Drosophila melanogaster: one gene and its partners. Changing the gene in region 4 together with the main gene of any one other region gives a genetic interaction. Each region holds a gene or a part of one and is shown on either strand. Other genes may lie near its edges. The genes, in order: bchs, ph-p, Pc and eff.

The links.
Region 1: of eff (region 4) and bchs, changing one enhances a phenotype caused by changing the other (phenotypic enhancement), as found in Drosophila melanogaster (one study listed by BioGRID).
Region 2: of eff (region 4) and ph-p, changing one enhances a phenotype caused by changing the other (phenotypic enhancement), as found in Drosophila melanogaster (2 studies listed by BioGRID).
Region 3: of eff (region 4) and Pc, changing one enhances a phenotype caused by changing the other (phenotypic enhancement), as found in Drosophila melanogaster (2 studies listed by BioGRID).

What each region holds. Positions count from the first base shown.
Region 1 is NT_033779.5:5,905,409-5,910,223, reverse strand, and holds the start of bchs (blue cheese), read right to left. Parts: upstream 3,056-4,815; 5' UTR 2,937-3,055; intron 1,912-2,936; 5' UTR 1,880-1,911; coding exon 1,589-1,879; intron 1,535-1,588; coding exon 1,289-1,534; exon of another isoform or gene 1,177-1,288; coding exon of another isoform or gene 1-1,176. Other genes in the region: CG14000 (uncharacterized protein), read left to right, coding at 1-1,176.
Region 2 is NC_004354.4:2,133,568-2,138,185, reverse strand, and holds the start of ph-p (polyhomeotic proximal), read left to right. Parts: upstream 1-1,563; 5' UTR 1,564-2,134; coding exon 2,135-2,169; intron 2,170-4,618. UniProt on the Drosophila melanogaster protein: Polycomb group (PcG) protein. PcG proteins act by forming multiprotein complexes, which are required to maintain the transcriptionally repressive state of homeotic genes throughout development.
Region 3 is NT_037436.4:21,314,388-21,319,738, forward strand, and holds the start of Pc (polycomb), read right to left. Parts: upstream 3,634-5,351; 5' UTR 3,524-3,633; coding exon 3,410-3,523; intron 3,096-3,409; coding exon 2,037-3,095; 3' UTR 919-2,036; intron 1-918.
Region 4 is NT_033777.3:14,738,275-14,743,003, reverse strand, and holds the start of eff (effete), read left to right. Parts: upstream 1-1,684; 5' UTR 1,685-1,997; intron 1,998-2,063; 5' UTR 2,064-2,600; coding exon 2,601-2,624; intron 2,625-4,729. Other genes in the region: jvl (javelin-like), read right to left, coding at 413-826. UniProt on the Drosophila melanogaster protein: Catalyzes the covalent attachment of ubiquitin to other proteins. Mediates the selective degradation of short-lived and abnormal proteins.

The DNA of each region.
Region 1 (4,815 bases), on a different chromosome or scaffold from region 4:
TTTAAACTCATCGAGGTGTTGCTGGGCAGTGTTTGTATGTTTTTCCACATACGCGGCTCATCCTACTGGCCAGAGCGTACTCCTCATGTGATCCTATATTGTGCCACATTTTCGTCCTTTACGGCGCTCGCCGCTCTAGGCGCGTTCCGACTGCTATTGGCTAGGAGTACGGTGCTCTCCTCCCAGCTCCTGCTCACACTGAGTGCCGTGCTGTCGCACTATTTCTGCGGCGTGCTGATAATGCGCACCGCCATGCTGGACCCTCACCTGGCCTTCATCAATTCTACCATCGAGTATCTGGAACATCCGCACTTTGCGCACTGCAAGCAGCAGAGCATCGCTGCGCTGGTTACTGGCACCATGTACCTGATGCACATGTTCCACGTGTTCGACCTGCTGATGCGCATGGAACCCGGCGACTGGAAACGTCAGGCGACTGGCCGTAAGTACTTTGAGGGAACAGAGTCTGGTTCAACCGGGCTATTTGTGCTTTCCAAGCCAGTGGACGACTTTCTATGCAAATGCTGCAGGTGCTACTATAAGTTGGCCAATTCTCAGATCCTGTACTTCCGGCCGAACGCGGAGGTGGAGCAGCCGCACTTTATAGTCCGCATGTGGCAGTTCATTGGGGATGCGCGTAAAAAGTTCTTTTCGCTGCATCAGATCGAGAGTGACGAGAGTTTTCTATCAACGCCAACAATAACCACCAGTGAATCGGATATCACACCGGTGGACACGGAGTACAGTGTGTACATGGAAGAGCAGGCCAATAAGATGCGCAGGTCTGCTTCAGCCTGGCGCGGCTCCAGCGATTCCTCGAGCTTGTGGGCCAAAATCGAGGACAGGAGCACTGTTAGCCTTGTTTCAACTCGGTCAAGTGAGAACAGCGAGGCCACAATGAAACCCATTCAAATGGATCGGAAGCTAGCCCGGCGATCTTCCATGTGGGCGGACACTGAGAAAAGGGAGAAATCGGAGATTTTGCTGGTAGAACAGGGCTCTAGCTATTCTCGGCTCAGAACTTTAAGCAATGCTGAATTGGTCCATAAGCCAAGCGATGCGGGAGAAAAGGAACAACAAGTTCCAGATGCAGCCAACCCAAATATTACAAATGAAGAAGCTACGAACTCACACATCGAATTCTCTTTGAAGCCTGGAACTGAGAAAACTTCGTGAATTTGATGACGACTTTCCCTAACGAAAATTGTAGCTATTGAAATTTTTTGTTTTGATTACGTCGATGTATTTTTACCATAAGATACTATAGCAGTTTATAAATGAAACATACCTGTATGAGAGATACGTCTCCATTGGCCAACAAATTGAGGGTAGCCAAAAGCATCCATCCGCTGCTGGTTTCCTCGGTGGTTTCCACCTCGAGAAACTTGACTATGGCAATGGATGCCGCCTCTGTGCTCTGGTTGGAGGCGCGCTTGCGGATTTCGCTGACCATGAGACGGGACACTTGCTGGCAGAAGGCGACCACGTCCCAGAACTTTTCGCTCATGTCGTTTGACGGACAGCTGCTGAAGACCTGTAAGAATGGGGAGTTAGTGGCCTATTCCTCCATACCGACTGATTCACTCACTTTGCAGAAGAGGGGCAGCATCTCGTAGAGCTTGTCATCGCGCTCCTGTTCGCTCAGCGGCTCCCGCGGATGAGTGTATTCGTTGAATAGCTTCTTTAGCGTGGTGAGGCTCACTTGGACGCGGGCGTCCATCAGCGCCTCCTCCGCATTCCGTCCATTTGCAGCGGTCGGTGCACCAGCATCCGTTCTGCTGCTCCCTGGTGAACTGTTGTTCGCCGTCGAGGTTCCGCTACTGCTGCCGCTGACGCTGCCTGCGCTGGCCGCTCCGCGCAGCTTACGCATTACATTCATCTTTGTGTTTGTTGATTTGCGGTAAGATTAATCTAAAAGAGAGAAAATTAAGTTGACTTAATACAAAATATAAGACTAATCTAATGGCTGTACTATGAGGAATGTCATTGATTTTTTTGCAAGGGGGTGGCACTTTCTACATGTGTTTTAATAATGGTGATTCACTTGTTTACAATGTTATGCCGTTTAAAAAGATTATATATTATTCGATAAAGGTGTAAAAAGATATTTCATAGTATTTTGAAACTTTTTACTGCTGTAGTTTAATGAACTTTCCCACTTTCATGCAGGTTTCAGTTCAAAACGTGTCGCTTCGCATTTAAACATATGTTTCCATAGAACCTGTGCTTATTGTAGATATTGTATCTTTTGAACATTGGAGGTGAGATATTTTGGCGATTTATTTGCACAGCACTGACACTTTCAATTGAGTGGCTTCCAAATCACAACCGCGCACAGTGCAGTTGGCGTTATGGCTTGTTTTCGCAGCTATTCTATTTCTGCTGCCGCCGCCTTAATTAGCGGCCGCTGGAGGTGAATCACACGAAAAGTGCGATCATTGTATTCGGTGCGAGTATTAACTTTTCGCGAGTGAATGAACGTTGCCTCTGTCGCCGACTCGATTCGATTCGTACGCCTACATAGCGAGCAAGCGATTAACCGATAGTGGTTATTATTCCATATATTCGGGAAATATTTACATTTTGTGCGAGACAGCTGTTCTTGGTTTACTTATTGCGCACTTGTTTGTTTACTCCAACTCCCTTTGAAACTACCGACTATCTGACCTCTCTTTTCTGCCAACGCATTTGGTTCAGCTAACGGCCGCTCTGTTGTTGCTTTTTCGTAGTCCGCTTAGCGCTCTCTTTCGTGTCGCACTTTGTTTTGCTCCAGTCAATCGCGCCTCACGACAATTTTATTGATTTTTCTTCCTCTCTCGCGTACTCTCACTCGGCCTCTCTGCCCGCCACCCACCCTTGAACAAACCAGCAGATAGGTCGAATTTGAAAATTTTCACATGCACTTTTCCGGCTTATTTCGTGCAGCCGTCACTTACTTTTGCTATCCGTCGCTAGCATTGTGTTTCCCGTGTGAGTTTTCACTATTTTGGGCCCTAAATGCACTCGTTTTACATCTTGTTTCACGTATGAAAATATGAACCAAATTTTCTCCAGCTTTTCGTCTGTACTCTCTTTTCGTTATTCTGTCGAGTGTTGCGTAGCGCTGCCAGTGGTATCAGCTGTTCACATTTTCCACCACCGCAGCCAGTGCTCATTAAGACCAAACGCCAGTGCTGCATTTTGAATTATGATCGGCGGTCTAGCTTTGGCATTTCAAATTCAACTGTACTGATAAGCAAATAAACAAGACCGATTTGTATTAATCTACTTCATTTTATTATTTTTATTTAATACAAAATCTTTTGTATGTCGCCAACGATGTGCTTATCTTCAGATTGTATATATTAGATCGCTTACTAAACTAATGGCAACAGTTTAATAGAACTAAACTGATTTATCTCATAAACTTAGCATCTAAATTGATACTTAATTAGCACTTACTTAATGTTCATGTGTGCTCATAATTAAGTTCATTATTGTTAATAATATTATATGAGTGCTTTCGCATCTCGGCTAACAATTGGTATTCTTAGGCCATTGGCCATTAATTTCCAAATTTCTCTCTCGCCCAATATTCGCATGAGTGTGAGATTCTTTATTGATTCTGGCTAGGGGTTATTAATATTTGTGTTTGTACTTACAGTTGTTATAATTGTCAGCATCAACAGATAGCTGTCGGATATGACAACAAATTTATTTGCATATTGATTGAACGAACACCCGATGGCGAACTTCATGCGTTGATAATGATGCTATTTGCTGACTCATTTGTGGCAGAGAATGCTGTAAGTTTATTGGGATTGATTGATTGGTAAGGCCATTAAATGCCACGCACGTCCTTCTGATCTAATTTCCCTGTACCCGAAACCAATTCGCTGTGTCTCCCCATTTTAATGCGGATAAAATTTCGTTTTTGAATCAATTAGGGGTGCAAAAGAATAAAGGCGTGTCGTGCTAAATATTTAGTTAGTAGTTATCCCCATGACCAACTGCCTCGCTCCCCAAAAATAGTTTACCTTTGGGCGTTGGCCCCGCCACGCCCACTGACCCCTTGCGTGACTGCCCGTATCCACCCGCTCCCACAGTCCTCTTCAGTTTTCCAGCTAGCCAGCCAGCCACATAAGCTAAGCTCGGAGTTCCCTAATGCTTGTTTATGTGGGAAAGCGTTTGGGATTGGCACTTCTCCAGGTATTATATCTTCCCACCCAGACAGGTACTTTGCGCACTTTCCCGCCCGACAAACCCCCCACCGCGATTTGTGGGGCAGGGTTGTGGGGAAAGTCCTTTGTCTGCGGCAATATTCTAATGGATTTTTCCGTTTCAGTTATAAATAGAGGCCCCCTACAACTGACAAAAACGGGAACAATATCTCAGGTGCCAAGAAGGGGTAGACCAGTAAAATGATATTCGGTAGATTGATAGCGCACTAAAAAAAAAAACTCGTGAAGTTGGCGCGAACATTCTATTTACATACAAACTCTTATGAGTAAAGTGACATCAGCCTATTTCATCCGCTTAATCTTCCTTTAAAGGTGAAGTGCAATACCCAGCAAAATTTTAAGTGGATTTTTAAGTGAATTTTCCGAGGACCGCATATGCTGCTCGAGGCGTTTCCGGAAAATTTAAAAGTGTAACCCCAAAAATCATTTGCACAGCATTCATGGGGGACTCATTAGGCGGGGCTTCCCCCTTTCTGTCGGAACGAATAACTTTTATTTTTCGCCCCAGAGTCCTCCACTTCATCACGACGCTGTTGTTGACAATGAGCGAAACATTTGCGTATCGAAATTGGCAAGACCCCGGGCGGCGGCCAAG
Region 2 (4,618 bases), on a different chromosome or scaffold from region 4:
AAAGCTAATCGGAATGAAAACATTTGTGGGGCTCAGCGACGTTGTTGTTGGATGAGGTGGGAAGAGTAAGAAGAAGACCAACAAGAGCCCAAAGCAACGCACACATACTACAAATGGTGCATGCACACACGCACGGGCTGGCACAAAATGAAAAATGAAATGACAAAGACAGGCACAGTGGGTCATGAGTGGTGGATATTTGAAACATTAATAAACTTAAAACTTAATAAATCAACTCAATACGTATGTCTATTATATAATTCTATTTTACTAAACGTTTTCATTTTACTTATCGTAACATTGTTTATATGTATAAAAAGTTTGGAAAAATTGCTGTTCTAAAAAATTGACCCACTGTACTCTTGGTTCTCAAACTGCAACTGTAAAGCAATCCAATAATAATGGATCGCTTACCACTGTTCAATGGGGTGGAGAGAATAAGATTTCGCTCTGCCTCTGCGCATACGCTATCCTCCCCTTCTCAACCGACACACCCGTGTGTTACTGACAAGCACAACTAATAATAAGGTAAAGCCGATCCGACCCGATCTGATGTGAAAAAGAAGGAATGAGAAAGGAGGTAGAGGTAGGAAGGTAGTCGTAGTGGTGGTGGTTGTGATGGCACGAAAAAAGAAGATGAAGTATAGCAACAATCGTTGTCGAGTCGGGCCGGGCGGTAGACATTCGAGTGTACACACATAAAACTGGCTTCGCGCGTATTTATGTATGTACATACCCGGTACCCACAAAGTAAAAGGGTATACTGGGCACTTGGTTTTAACTGGAATTTGTGTTAGTAGTCAGCACCAATAACTTACAAATAAATATTTAAGAAGGGTTTTCATTTTAAGGATACGACTGAAGTTAGCGAGGAATGGTATATGAAAAAGGGGTATTTGAAAGTCGAGTCACCAGACCATGTTATGTTTTCAGCAACGGAAGGGGGCTTTCAGTCGGGGTGGTTGAGCACGCATACACATGCCCGCCAGCTGTAGTCTTCCTGTTTTTTTTACTCGTTTTGGTTTTGCTTTGTCAAACGAACTGCTGCCGTTTCATTCCAACCCCAAGCGAACGCACGGCATCCCTCTCGCACGCGCTAACTGGCCAGGGCCACTCCTAGTGGCGTCGCACTCGCACCCGTGCATTTCGGTATAGAGAAAAGTTATTAGTCGCAACGGCATCTGAGAAGAGAGAAGCGGATCCAGCTGCACACCAACACACACACATATTCAGCGCACATGCGCTCATTTTGTTTCCGATCCGAACGAAAAGTAGAGTTGTCGCTGTGGCGCGCGGTTCAGTTTGAAACTTAACTTGGCGGTGTACGGTTCTTGCGCTCTGCTCTCTCTGCGTTCGTGTTGGTGTGGTGTCGTATGTGTCGCATACCGCATCGCATGTGTATTGAACGAAGAAAAAACCCGCCGACGCGACATACTCACTGGATACCCTGCAAATTTGTTAAATTTTTTTCAAAAAGAGCTAACGGTGCTGTTGATTAGCTAGTGCAGATGTGCAGACATAAAAAGTGATGCCGCGCCACAGTGGAGCCCCTAGCTGGCGAATCGTCGCTGGCGACGTAGGCAGTGCAGTTAAAACAAGTACTTAGTGCTGTGACTGTGGCTTAATTTTATGTAAGATCGCGTGCACAGGTGCTTAGTCGTTACACTGAGAAAAAGAAAAGTGCCTGCAGCCAGCGGGGAGAAGTTGAAGTGGAGTGACTGTGAGTGGAGGTTGTACTAATTACTACTGCCCGTGCACGAAACACTCATTTACACGCAAGCACACACACACACACACACACACACGAGACACTGGGACTTTTGTCGGATTTTCGTATTCGTTTTGTGTACTTTTGTTGTCTTGCGTTCCACGTTACATACATATGTATATGTTTGGTGTTGCCTGTTGTATGTTTATATTTATTGCCTTCACACATGTGCGTGTTTGTTAATGTACAATATAATACGGCAAATAGCAAAAAGAGAAGAAACTGAGGACTAAAAAGAAAGCGCCATGCCGACTATAACAAAAACAACCACGAGTGTCTCCGCCGCCGCCGAAAACAAAAACAAAACGCCTAAGCCGACGCATGCATACCTATAATTTATTATAAATATTGTTTTTATTTTGAATAATGGATCGTCGTGCATTGAAGTTTATGCAAAAAAGGTATTTTTTGTTTAGTTTGGTTTTATTTTTATCACTGCTTTTGTACTGCCTGCACTTGTGCTTTTTGTTTACAATTTTTGGTTTAATCTGCTCTTGAGCATTGGATATTGATTCTATATCGTATTCGGATAATAATGACACGTTAATCATAATGCTCGTAAAAATGCAGCGAGTGGATATTCTGTGCTCTCTGTCATCATAAAATGCGCTCGACTGGCGGGCCAAGAAAAGAAAATAAATTCATGAAACCCAAAACGAGTTTCCCCTCCGTCGCCCTCTCCGCCATTCATCATCCAACCGACACACGCCCCCCGCTGTGCGGTGTTGTTGCATTTTTAACAACGAATTTCGCAATGCATGCCCGTGTCTGCATTTGTGTGTGTGCGTCGGCTGGTGGTGGTTGATTTCTCCGTCTCTCCGTGCAACCCTCTCTCACTCGCGCAACAAAGCAACATAAAGAAAACAAAAGTTCTATATCGAAAGGTATCAGTTTTTGTTGTTGCTGCGGCAACCCTGCTTACATTTTGCTTTACTCTGCCGAAATAAACAGTCTAGGGTTGTCAGCTGTAACGAATCTGAGAAATCTGTGTTCCGGTTTAACGAAGATTCAATTTTATTGAATACTTTTATATTTCTTACAGTCCGTTATCACTGAATGCTAATTTTTACCTACAAACTTAAATTGTTCGTGGCAAGAAAATAAACCAGAATGATTAAATTATTTTAGACTCGTTTAAAGCACAACAGTTTTTGTAAATAAATAGTTGACAACTCTGTTTACACCTACGCTACACCGCACTCGCTCTGAGTTTATGTGACTGTGTGTACGGCCTGGCCATAGCCTCATCTCGTTCACTCACATTTGTTTCATCTTCTTCGATTGCAGAACTCGTTTGTGTATCAATCAATAGGCTGTCAAGGCCCCCCCCCTCCTCGCTCGCTCCCGCGCATTTTGCACGCCCGAATCCACTGGAGGTGATGTTTGATTTGAGCGCGACCTTTCCCCCGCACCCCTATCGGCGTGTCTGTGTGTGTGTGTGCTGCCCCGCATTTTGATCATTCCTTTCCCACCGCTACTGCTTTCCCCCCGATTGCAAGCAGGCTGTTTTACGGGGGTTCTCACACACTCGAGCTCGAATGTATGTACCCTACTCCATGGCGACATGGAAACCAGTCTTTTTTTTTCTCTCAAGAGGTTTTTCGCAGCGTGCGGCCGTGAGCTTAACTTACACACACTTGCACACGCGCACCCACCACCCTGTGGCGAGTATTCCACCCCTCTGGACCACCCACCCCATATTCCCTTTCTTTTACGGGGTAGCAGCGACATGAGGGTTGCCAAAATGCTTTTACCGGCTTTTATAACCCATTTCGCTCCTTTTTCTGTCTTTTTTGCACTCATGCTTTTTATGCTCTTGCTGTTTATGGGCCTTGCGGGCTTTTTGGGCGATGGAAAGGGGTGGGGATCAGGCTCTCTGGACTGCCGGGCATCACAGTCGCGGTCAATGCAATAGGACCTTGAAACCACGCTTCTCCAGTTAGATCATTCATAGTTGAACTATATCAGGGAACTGATTCAGGAAGTAATATTAGTTAATTATTTCTAGAAAAACATCCTTACCATGTGGAGTACTCAGCCATTTACGTTTGTCCACTAATCCTATTAGCTTGAGCACTACTGTATAAAACACTAACCATCTCGTGTTGCTCCCAACTGTCAGCATTTTTAGCATTTCGATGGAAAGGTCCTTGAACTTCGCCTGCAATTCGCATCGGCTTTATTGCCCTTTTACAATAATATCGAACGGTGCCAGCTGCGTGGCTAAATTAGTTTTCCGGGCTGTTGTTGTCGAACGTTGAACGTGGAAAACGAGTGCGACTACCATGCTGCTCATGGAAATTCGAAAACCCATAGATAAAGATCGATGTGAAATGCGAAGGCTGTCAGGCAGCTCCTTTCTCTTCATTCGTTGAATGCGAAAGTCCGTTAAGTAGTTGGCCAAATGTTCATTGTCGCTGAAAAAGGGCGGGTTCGGAAAAAGGTCCACAAAAAGAACGAATATTTTCGGGATAGGGATTGGGATCGGGATCGGGCTCGGGATCTCTACCTAAAAGTTAACCAGGGTACACAATTCTTAATTAGAAATTGAAATGACATGGTACATATCTTCAGGCTTGACCTTGTGATTAAGTCGGAACTATAGTTTTGATATTATCCCGAGTTAAAGGTGATCGTTACCTCAGAGTCATATTTACTTTTCCCGCGTTTGTTTCTGCCACTCTCGAAAGTCATCTTTTATGTTTACATTGTAAATATGATTATTTAATAAGAGCGTTTTTGTTTGCTAGTTCCCGCATTTGTCTCACACTTTTTTGAATGACTAAAACCAGATTTTTGTATTTACCAAGTAGCCATATTTGCTTAAACAAAAAAAAAAAAAAAAAAAAC
Region 3 (5,351 bases), on a different chromosome or scaffold from region 4:
AATTTATGAAAGAGAACCATCAAAAATTGAAAGATTTACATTTCCATCATATTTCCGGACATGCTGGATTAATTATTGCTTTAATACTAATGATAGTATTAATAATATATTTCATACGGAAATGTGCTGTGCAACAAAGAATGCAAGCAATAACCTTTGCAGGTCCGTTGCCAGTACTATAAATATCAATAGTAAATAAACAATAAAATAATATAACAAATAAAAATATACAGTCCACTAATAGAAAATGTACTTCTACATAGAAAAAGCAAAATGTTTAAAATAAGTTAATTGAGTACAAATTGTTGAATTAAAAATAATATAAACCATAATTGTAATCCAATAAAATTAAAAGCCAGAAAAACTAGGCCCATTGAAATCTTAGTTGCAAAATAAATGAACATATATCAAATAAATACAGTCCACTACTGTTATAAATGCAACTAATATACTAATGTACATCTCAGCTTGCTGGCCCTTTGGCAGAATGTTCACACATGAACACGAATATATTTAAAGACTTACAATTTTGGGCTCCGTTCATATCTTATGTAAATGAATCGAGAGCGATAAATTATATTTAGGATTTTGTTATCTAAGGCGACATGGGTGCATTGCTCAAAAACATGTAATTTAAGTGCACACTACATGAGTCAGTCACTTGAGATCGTTCCCCGCCTCCTAAAATAGTCCCTTAGTGGGAGACCACAGATAAGGTCCTCGCCGCTCAAGATAGGCAGATGTGCCCGAGCGTGGGACCTCGATAAGGCGGGGACTATTTACTTAGGCCTCTGCGTAGGCCATTTACTTTAAGATGCGATTCTCATGTCACCTATTTAAACCGAAGATAATTCCAAATAAAATCAGTTTCTTACAAAAACTCAACGAGTAAAGTCTTCTCATTTGGGACTTTACAACTATATTAAAAAGCTTAAAATATACGCTTTGAATTGCTGTTTTGTGTGGAATTTACGCCGTAACTAAAACTAGCCAATAAAGAGCTAAGACAAATAGAAACATACGCACAGGACCCATGGGAAATAAGCAGGAGTTTGTAAATTCCCCGCAGCTCCCACGTAGTTTTCTGTTTCATAGCGTGAAAAAAAATTGTGAAATAGACATAGGATTTAAGTAATGAGTCTATGGGCTCGATTTGGAATTATCTGTGCACTGCACCGCTCTGAACCCATAAAGGCAGCACTTGAGTCTTGAATGACTGCTAAGAGAACATGTTAAAATAAATATTACGTAGAGATTTTGGTTAGCTAAAGTCTAAAAATATTTGTAAATCTACAATTGTATATATGTTTTTGGGGTTTTCTTTTGTAAAATCAGTCGGCGCGAGGAAATATAATATTAAACAATTACAACATTGGGATAGCCAACTCGGCAAACGTGGTGGTGACTACTCGAATATATGCATCTTCTATTGTATATATTTGTAAGCGTAATCAACAATTGCTTCGGTTTCGCATGGAGTTTTCTTAGCATTTGAGTGTCTTGTGTTGTTTTCAATCAGATTCAAAGTGTTATAAAAAATATACAATATGTGGTAAATATATGTAACATGTACATACATATTTATCTACGCTGCAAGTTTTACAATCTATTGCATTGGCAAGTTAAGCAGCCGCAGCATTTCGCCTATTCACTAAATGACAACCAGATTAATCTTAAAAAGTGATATTGCAGAAAAATAAATTTTTAATTTAAATAGGAAAATATTCAATCATTGCAATGCTGATAAAAAAAATGAGCGAAAATTTATGTATATATAAAGTCATTTAGTAAATACCCGACTTGCGCTTGCTTAAACTACTCTTGCACATTAAACATTGTAATAAAACAACAAACTAAAACCTACGCTAAAAATAAATACAATAAATTAGTTAAGTCCTAAAGAGAAAATGCTTAGCAACATTTAGTGTGGATTTCTCTGCATAATTCTTCTCTCAACTTTCTCGCATTTTGGTTTGTCTATTTACAATTGTATCAGTTTTCCGGTTTGTTTTCCCGACATTTGTTTGGGTCGAAGCTCAAGCTACTGGCGACGAATCGCCTTTCATGTCGCGCTCACGAAAAAACCCGCGCTCCGTCTTGCACTCGCGTATGGTAACGGTCTCCAGGTTTACGGTGACGTCTGTGATCACCACCCGGTTGGATATGTTGCATTTGGCCGGCAGCCAGAAGCGCGGCGGAAGGGCACGCGGCGAAAGAGGAGTAAGCGGCTGTTTCTGGTTGATAGCCAGGTTGTTGCACGGTTTTGGTATGTTATTGTTCTCGGAAGGAACCTGTGGCGCCTGTTGGTTGCCTTCCTCGTTGGCTACTTCTTCTTCCTCAGCTCCGGACTCTGCGGGCGTTGTGTTTATGGCTTCTGTGGCCAGTGGGGTGGCCTGCTGCTCAGATTTCAGCTGCGTTGCAGCCTCGCTGGCAATCTTTTCCGCTTGCTGCTGATCCTGGAAGGGCTGCTGCTGGCTGGGAGTTACCTGCTGGGTCGGCTGAGGCTTAATAGTGGGGCCATCTGGGGAGGTCTTAATCGTAACTCCAATCTTGCCCGATTCCTTGAGCACCTCGGCTTTGCGTTTGGTGCCGATCAGCGGCTGATCCTCGGAGCTGGAGGAGTTGCTGTCCGGCTCGGGGACAAATGAGTTGTGCGTGAAGCTGCTGTTCGAGGAGGAGCTGTGATCAATGCGCTGACGCTTGGACTCGTGGTGGTGGTGATGATGATGGTGGGTCAGCGGAGATTCCGAGCGCCGTCCACTGTTGCGTTCGGACTTGATGTGGTGATGATGGTGGTGGTGGTGATGGTGCTTCTTCTCCTTCTTCGACTCCTTATCGTGGGTAGCCGATGAGGTGGTGGCTTGATGCGTGTCCACATCGTTTTCGGTGAAGGTGTACTCATCCTCCTCGGATTCCGGCTCCGGATCGGGTTCTTTCTCCTTCTTCTTAATGCCTCGCTTGGAGGGAGTTCCGGAGGATTTGTTCGTTTGTTCGTAGATGTCGATGAGGCGGCGATCCAGGATGTTTACCTCCGGTTCCCAGGTGTTGTAGCGCTGGTTCCAGCCCTTCCACTTGACACGGTACTCCACGACGCCCTGGAAAATCGAGTAAGTGAAGGAGTGGGGGTGGATTGCATTTTCTTAGACAACTAATTGATTTTCCATTCAGCGAAACAAAAACACGCCTCACATACACACACACACACATACGAACGCACTACGCACACACACATGCATCGTGCAAATGGTGGTTGCAGCAGCAGATGTCCTCTGGCCAAAAAATGTCGAAGGACATGTGACCTTGTGGACTATACATATATCCTGCGTGTGCTGCGCATATTGCATTTGCCATTTTTAGCGGAGCATCCCGTTTTGGTCGCCTTTTTCGAATTTGTTTACGCTCATCTCACCTTCTTAACGCGCTTTTGGATGATTTTCTCAGCCGCGTACACTAGATCGACTGGATCGTCGGTCGCATTGTCGCGCCCCAACTTCCCCTTACTCCCCTTGCCTCGACCAGTCATTTTTAATTAATAATCTTCTCGGAACGTTTTATTATTCGTTTTATTTGCAATTAACTTCTGGTTTACAATTCTGCGTACGTCGATAGTCGTCCGACTCGATTATTTTCATGTAAACAATCGATAGTGCTGCGAGGTGCAGAGTTACCGTGCTACAAAGAACTGGGATCATATCTTAGCAAGTAGCCGTGTCGCACACCCTTTCCTGGCAAAATTAGCAAAGACTCAAAACTTTGATGACTAGACACACCTAATTGTGCGTTTTTAAAATGTAAATGTTTTGTTAAAATATTTTCAGAATTTCTTGACATTTTTCTATTATTTATAAATGGGGTATATAAATGTTTTAGAAAACATTTTTTTGGCGCTGTTGCCTTATACACTATTTTCTTTTATCGTTTCTACAAATTACTAAACCGGCGAGAAGTTAAACCAATTAGCTTAAATATAAAATAGCTTTTAATCAAATTTTAATAAGCGCATTTTTAATGAATCCTTTGTACAGTATTCTTTTTAAACTGCATGTTGAATTGAATTCCAGGTAACGAAATATTATACTTTCGTTAACGTTTATCGTTGTGTTGCTTTCATCCCATATTGAGTTTTGATTTTCCTTTGTCCTGCTTCACTTATTGTATCACAAATTGCCACATATACTTCGCCCCATATTCCTATTCAATTAAGTTTGATAATTAACTTGATTACAACTGAACTAGTTACCCTCTTCGAACTCTTCAAATGCCACATCCTCAAGAGGGAGAGAAAGTGCGGGAGAGAGTGTGAGAAAGCACAAGAGCGCCGAAAGCTCAGGATGGATGTGAAAGGAAGTGGCCGACTGCAGATATTTTATGCCAGTTGTATGTTGGCCGAGGGTTCGCGTGGCGGGGGCGGCAACGACGATGACATTATTTTATTTATGCTGTGATAGTGAAATAACAACAACACCAAGACCAACAACTGAAATAACACCCATTCCCTTGAAATCAATCGCAATATTTTCGACGAGGGACGCGAAACGCATGGAGAATCTTCACACTTAACGACGAAAACGAGAAATTAACCAAAAGCTTTAACCAAAACATAAAGAAAAACACCAAGCAAATTGTTGCGAACCCTATAAATAGATTAATGTTTAATTCATAGTGAAAACAGCACCAATTAGCGCATAACCTATAAAATATTAGTCAATATGTTTAGCTAGTTACAATTTACATAGATGATATTTAATTAGTGGCTTCAAACAAAACACCAAGCAACCAAACAACCGAACAAAAAAGGGGAAAAACCAATACCTAGTTCAATTGTACGGAGCGAAAAACTAACGAATAGCGATTAGGAAAACTGGCCAACTGATAAGGCTGGCGAAAATATTAAGCTTATAGCATATAGGAAATAATAATAGCAACGGCAAACCACCCCATCTCCAGGCGAAAGCCCCGAATAGCGGATTCATTCAGAAAAACGTGCCACACAACCGGACGGGAGCGACGGACAACGGTAAATGTCAAAGTCATAAAGAGAAAACTCGGAAATGCCGATGAGAGAAAGCTCAGAGAAAACGTCAAAACTATGAGAGGCGATAAAAGCTAGCCAGTTACAGTTATATTGGGAGAAGCAATGCCAAGTGTCAAAATCGCAAAGAGAAAGTAACAAAAGAGAGACACAGCTTAACGAAAACTTCCGGTTATTTTTTAACCAGTAGATTGAGCATTACGGCCATATATTAACGCAAACAGGACAATGGAATAGCTTGTATTTATCAGTCGTTTTGCCTAAAAAAAGAGTTTATAAAAAGAAAAGAGAAAGGAACGCCGCAATAGGAGGTCATACA
Region 4 (4,729 bases):
CAGATATGACACGACCCAAGTTGCAAGTGCAGCGGAAGTGATCCATTACGCAAGTTTAGAGCGGAAAGAGCGGTGCGATTGCTCGAAAAAAAGAGATGGCAGAGTGGAAGGTAGAAAATGAGTATTAAAACCCATGGGGGTTTTATTACAATTACAATTCTGTGACATGCCAAACGAATCCCTCGAACTGGAAACTCTCTGTTCCAACCAGAATTCTTTATTTTTGGTTTTCTTTTCCTGTTTTGGGGTTAAATCTAAATACATACAAATGGCATTATCAAAGTTTAAATAAAATACTACATTTTATAATACATAACTTAAAGGGGATATATTATATTTGATTGGCAATTATAGAAGTTCCTTGTTCTCCTAATATTACAAGTTTATCTGGTTCTTTGTGCAACAAACTCACCTTGTGGCAAAACGCGGCTGCCTCCTTGGCCACGCCTACTCCGTCCGCTGAGTGGGCGTGCGTTGATGGCGAGGTCGCGTAGACGAAGAGCGGTAGCGAGCTAAAGTTCCGTTTGTCCTGAAAGCGGCGGCTGAAGAATAACGGCTTGTGGCATCCCGCTGCAGCGGCTAGTATGTTTGTTGTTGTTGCCGTTTTCGTAACACTAGGTGTGGAAGCTACTGCTGCTGCTTCTTCTTGTCTGCGCGTATTTACTGTTGTTGTTGTTGTTGTTATGGGTGCTGCAGTTGTTGTGTTTGCTGTTGTTGCATTTGCTGGGGTCGCCATTGGCGTATCGCAATTTTCTCGTATTATCGCCGCTTCTTCCTCTTCGCTGCAAGTTGTTGTTGTCTGTGTTTGCGTTTTTGTTGTTGGCATGACTACAACTACAGCTACTATAAATCGAATATAAATATATCGACGGAGGCGTGGGCGGTGGCGGAGCTGTGGGCGTGTCCCTGCAGCTGCTGGCGTCCCTTATTGTTGTTTCTGTTGTTCTTGTTGTTATTACTTAGGACCTTGGCATTATCCTCCTCCATCTTTTTTGCTGTTCAAGAAGTCAGCGAAGTTCAGCGCTTGCCAAAACTGAATGATTAGCACTTGCACATCGTCGCGTTTATCTTGGCTTTCTTCATTATTTCTTGTTTTTCAAGTGCAAAAATATTGTACAAATTCTTGGGCCATACAAAAGTGTGAGTTCTGTGTAAAAATTCACAAAAAAATACGCACGAAGCCGATTGCGGGGGTGGGAGAGAGATGGCGATACACGAACGAGTTCAAAGGGCCGCCAAACTAGGAAAAACACGCCAACAAATCAAACAAAACACTTGCACAACCGCAATTCGATCAATGTCGAAGCAAAACAGCCACTAATATTAAGTATATTACTTAATTAACAAACACTTTTGTTTGAAATATTTTGCAGACAGTTAAAGTTAGAGCTGGAACCAAAATCGATGTTTATGCGATACTATCGATGTATAGGGTAAGAGGGCTGCATTGATTAAATTCAGCTACCGTCGATTGTTTTAACTGTTCATACTATTATAACGGCAGTTTCAGACAGCGGAAGCGCCATTTGGAGTAGTGAGAAAATAAAAAGTTAAATTAAATGAACCAGTTTATTTTGTTAAAAATATTTTCATCCTTATGATAATAAAATCTAAATACTAAAAATCTACTAACGCCTGTTATTCCCAAAAACTATCGATAGCACAACGGAAAATATCGACAAGTATCCTGAATTGGCACGTCGGCCTTGCCAGACCAGCGCTCTGGAGTGAATTTAAATTTTAAAATAACGCCCTGTCAATTCAGTTGTAGAACTCAGTAGCTAGTCGGAAAGTTTTCAAGAACTCGGATTACCAACATCTCAAAATTGCTCAGTAAAAACATTCCGGCAGCCTGCAACACGTTGGGTGTTAACAAATTTACATACAAGTTGCAAGCTTTTGGGCGCACGCACCATCGATAAGAAGGTAGTTCGAATAAAATATAACACCTCCTCGCTGCCGGTAAAACTATTTCTTCTGGCTGTTCCCGAACTAAAGTGAGTATGAAGAGTCTTGCATTGGCAATCAAATTGTAATTAACTGATTCATCCCTCACCTAAAAGGCGTTGCCACCCAATCGATCTGGCCACCCCTAGCGAAAAGGTCATATAGCTGGACTGCTCTGCTGGACTTCCGCTTCACAACACTACCACACGACACAGACACACCATTCCTCTCGCTCGGGCTTACACTTCGGTGTAACGATTGTGCTTCGTTGCGTTCTCAGCTCACTAACGGTCGTCTCTATCGCACAAACGGTCGAAAGGCCCCGCATTGATTGTGAAAAAATAATCGTCGCCGTAGTCTTCGTCGGGTCGCCGTTTTTACTTGCAGTGCGCTGGTGCTGCTTTATTTCGTGACAAGGGACACTCAACCGAAAGAGCCATATTTAAGCATCAAAGTTCTAGAGGCGCAACGCAGCTTTGTGTTTCGTTTTTCGTTCAATTCTAAGCAGGAGGATTATATATTGAATAAAACCCAATTCTGTGCGAAGAACAAAAGAAATACGCGAGACACCAACACCAGCACACAACCAACCAAACACACACACAACCAACCAAACACACACACAACCCAGAAAATCAAATTTCAATCAGAAAATGGCGTTAAAAAGAATCAATAAGGTATGTGAAAAAAGGAATATCTCAAAAAACTTTGCGAAACGGACTAAAAAAAGAAAGAACAGAACCCTTTGCGATACACCAAAATGATAGTCTAAAAAAAAAGCGAACAGACATCAGTTTTCAACGGGAGAAAAATTTTATGCAAGAAATGTGAAACGTAGGTAGTAACCGAGGAGAAGAAAGAAGAAGCGGGGGGAAAGAAGCGTGCAAGAGGGAAGGGAGAAAATGAGCTGTGGAGTTACCATTTAATTAATAAGTTAGTAATTAGGAGCAGATTAGAAATTTTGAGGGTGGTGAAAAAGGTATAAGGATGTGTGTGTGTGGTGGGCAAGGCAACGTGTAGTGCAGTCATCGCTTCCGTTACTTTTGCGAGAGTGTGGGATAAGTGTGTGTGCGATGCGTGTGCGTGAAAGTGCAATGCAAATGTGCATTGTTTGTGTGCGTGTGTGCCGGGCACCTGGATGCATTTACATTAATGCAACTATACGGCGGAGTTTTCGCAGCTCTACGGGCGCTGTTACCCAATACACGCTGTACACGGCACTCGCACACACTCTCAGCCTCGCAACAGTCACACATAAACGCACACACTGCCAGCGCCGCAGAAAGATCCAGCAAAAAATAAAACAGAGCAAAAGCAAGAAGCGTATAAAATTAACCTAACCCTACTTTTTGCGCTGATAATTCAGAAATAGTGCTGCCCCCAAGCATATATATTTATATATGTATTTAGGTAGAGTGGTTCTAGCGTGCGTGCTTCGATAATTATTTTTAAAGTGCCTGCGCGTCGTTTGTCCTTGTCCAGTAAATGCTTTTTTACACCCCAATGTTCAAGGCCCTGACAACCCGATATTTTTTCAAAGTCATCCCAGCCTTCCTCAAAAGCATTAGTAATATCTCGAAGTTGTGGAAATGTTACTTGGCAAATTGGGATCTTTTTTTACGTTTGAAGCCGGTTATCATAGTCATACCCCACACACACACACATTAAAACGCTCGCAAATACAAAGTCTCGCCATCACTTGGCTATGGCCATTGCATGCCATCTCGCTCTGGCCCTGGCGCATTCCCTTTGCCCGCGACAGCTGAGGCCTCATTCGGTCCCGCTCGCGCAATGGGGCAGAGCCAAAGAGAGCGCAAGTGTGTGAGTGCTAGCGGGGCTTAGTGTTGCAAAACACCGTCAGCCAAAAGGGGGCCCCCAAATAATTAGTTATAAATTATAATTAAGCATAATTTACATACAAAATGAGCAGCGAATGCGGAATTTGTTCATATCTATGCGTATGTGTGAGCGTGGTGTGTATTTGTGTTTGAATGTGTGGGGCGGGGGTCTGCTGACTGTCTCGACAAAAGCAGCGCTGCCTGCGTCGGCGTCATGGCCATTGAGTTTTCCTCGTTTTTCGTAGTTTTCTATCCATTATAACATTTTAATGCCTGCCTAAATGAAAACGAAATGGCAAGCGGCAAACCGGAAATAAAAGTATACATTGTAGTAAACTCTTAAAATCACTCACGCCCCCTTTTTGTGGTCAATTCTTCAAAAGCCTTTTTTCTCTAGATGGCCTCATTTGCCAAAAAAGAGAGTTAAAGAGCGAGAGAGAACGGCTTAAACGCCGATCGGAGCTCACTTGAACCGTACACTGAACGAAATGGGCTTTAGAACCAATGCATATGGCATTTAGTCTTACTGAACCAATTCTTAAAGTTCACAATATTAATTATTCGAATAAGAATTAAATAGAAGTTTGTATTGGTAGTGCACCTGGTCTAATATTGATAATATTATCGAATTTTCTTGCTGTGCACAAGTGTGCGTGTTTGTTTTTACTTCATTTGTTCGTCTGATATGAGTCATAACCGCTCCGACTCCCAACGAAAAAAGAAATGTAACAATTTCTTGTAATTTATTTTTGCTCAACAGGTACAATTCCCAAAATGAGTAAGTGAGATGGGGCAAAGAAACACGGTGTTTTTCGCGACGGCTATTTTTGTTGTGCTCCACTCTGATTTTGTGGTGCCGTTACAAACACACGCATACACTGAAGCTCAGTCTTCTCACTCTCCTTCATTCTTCCTCCTCCTGCTGCTCCTCCTCTTACTTCTCC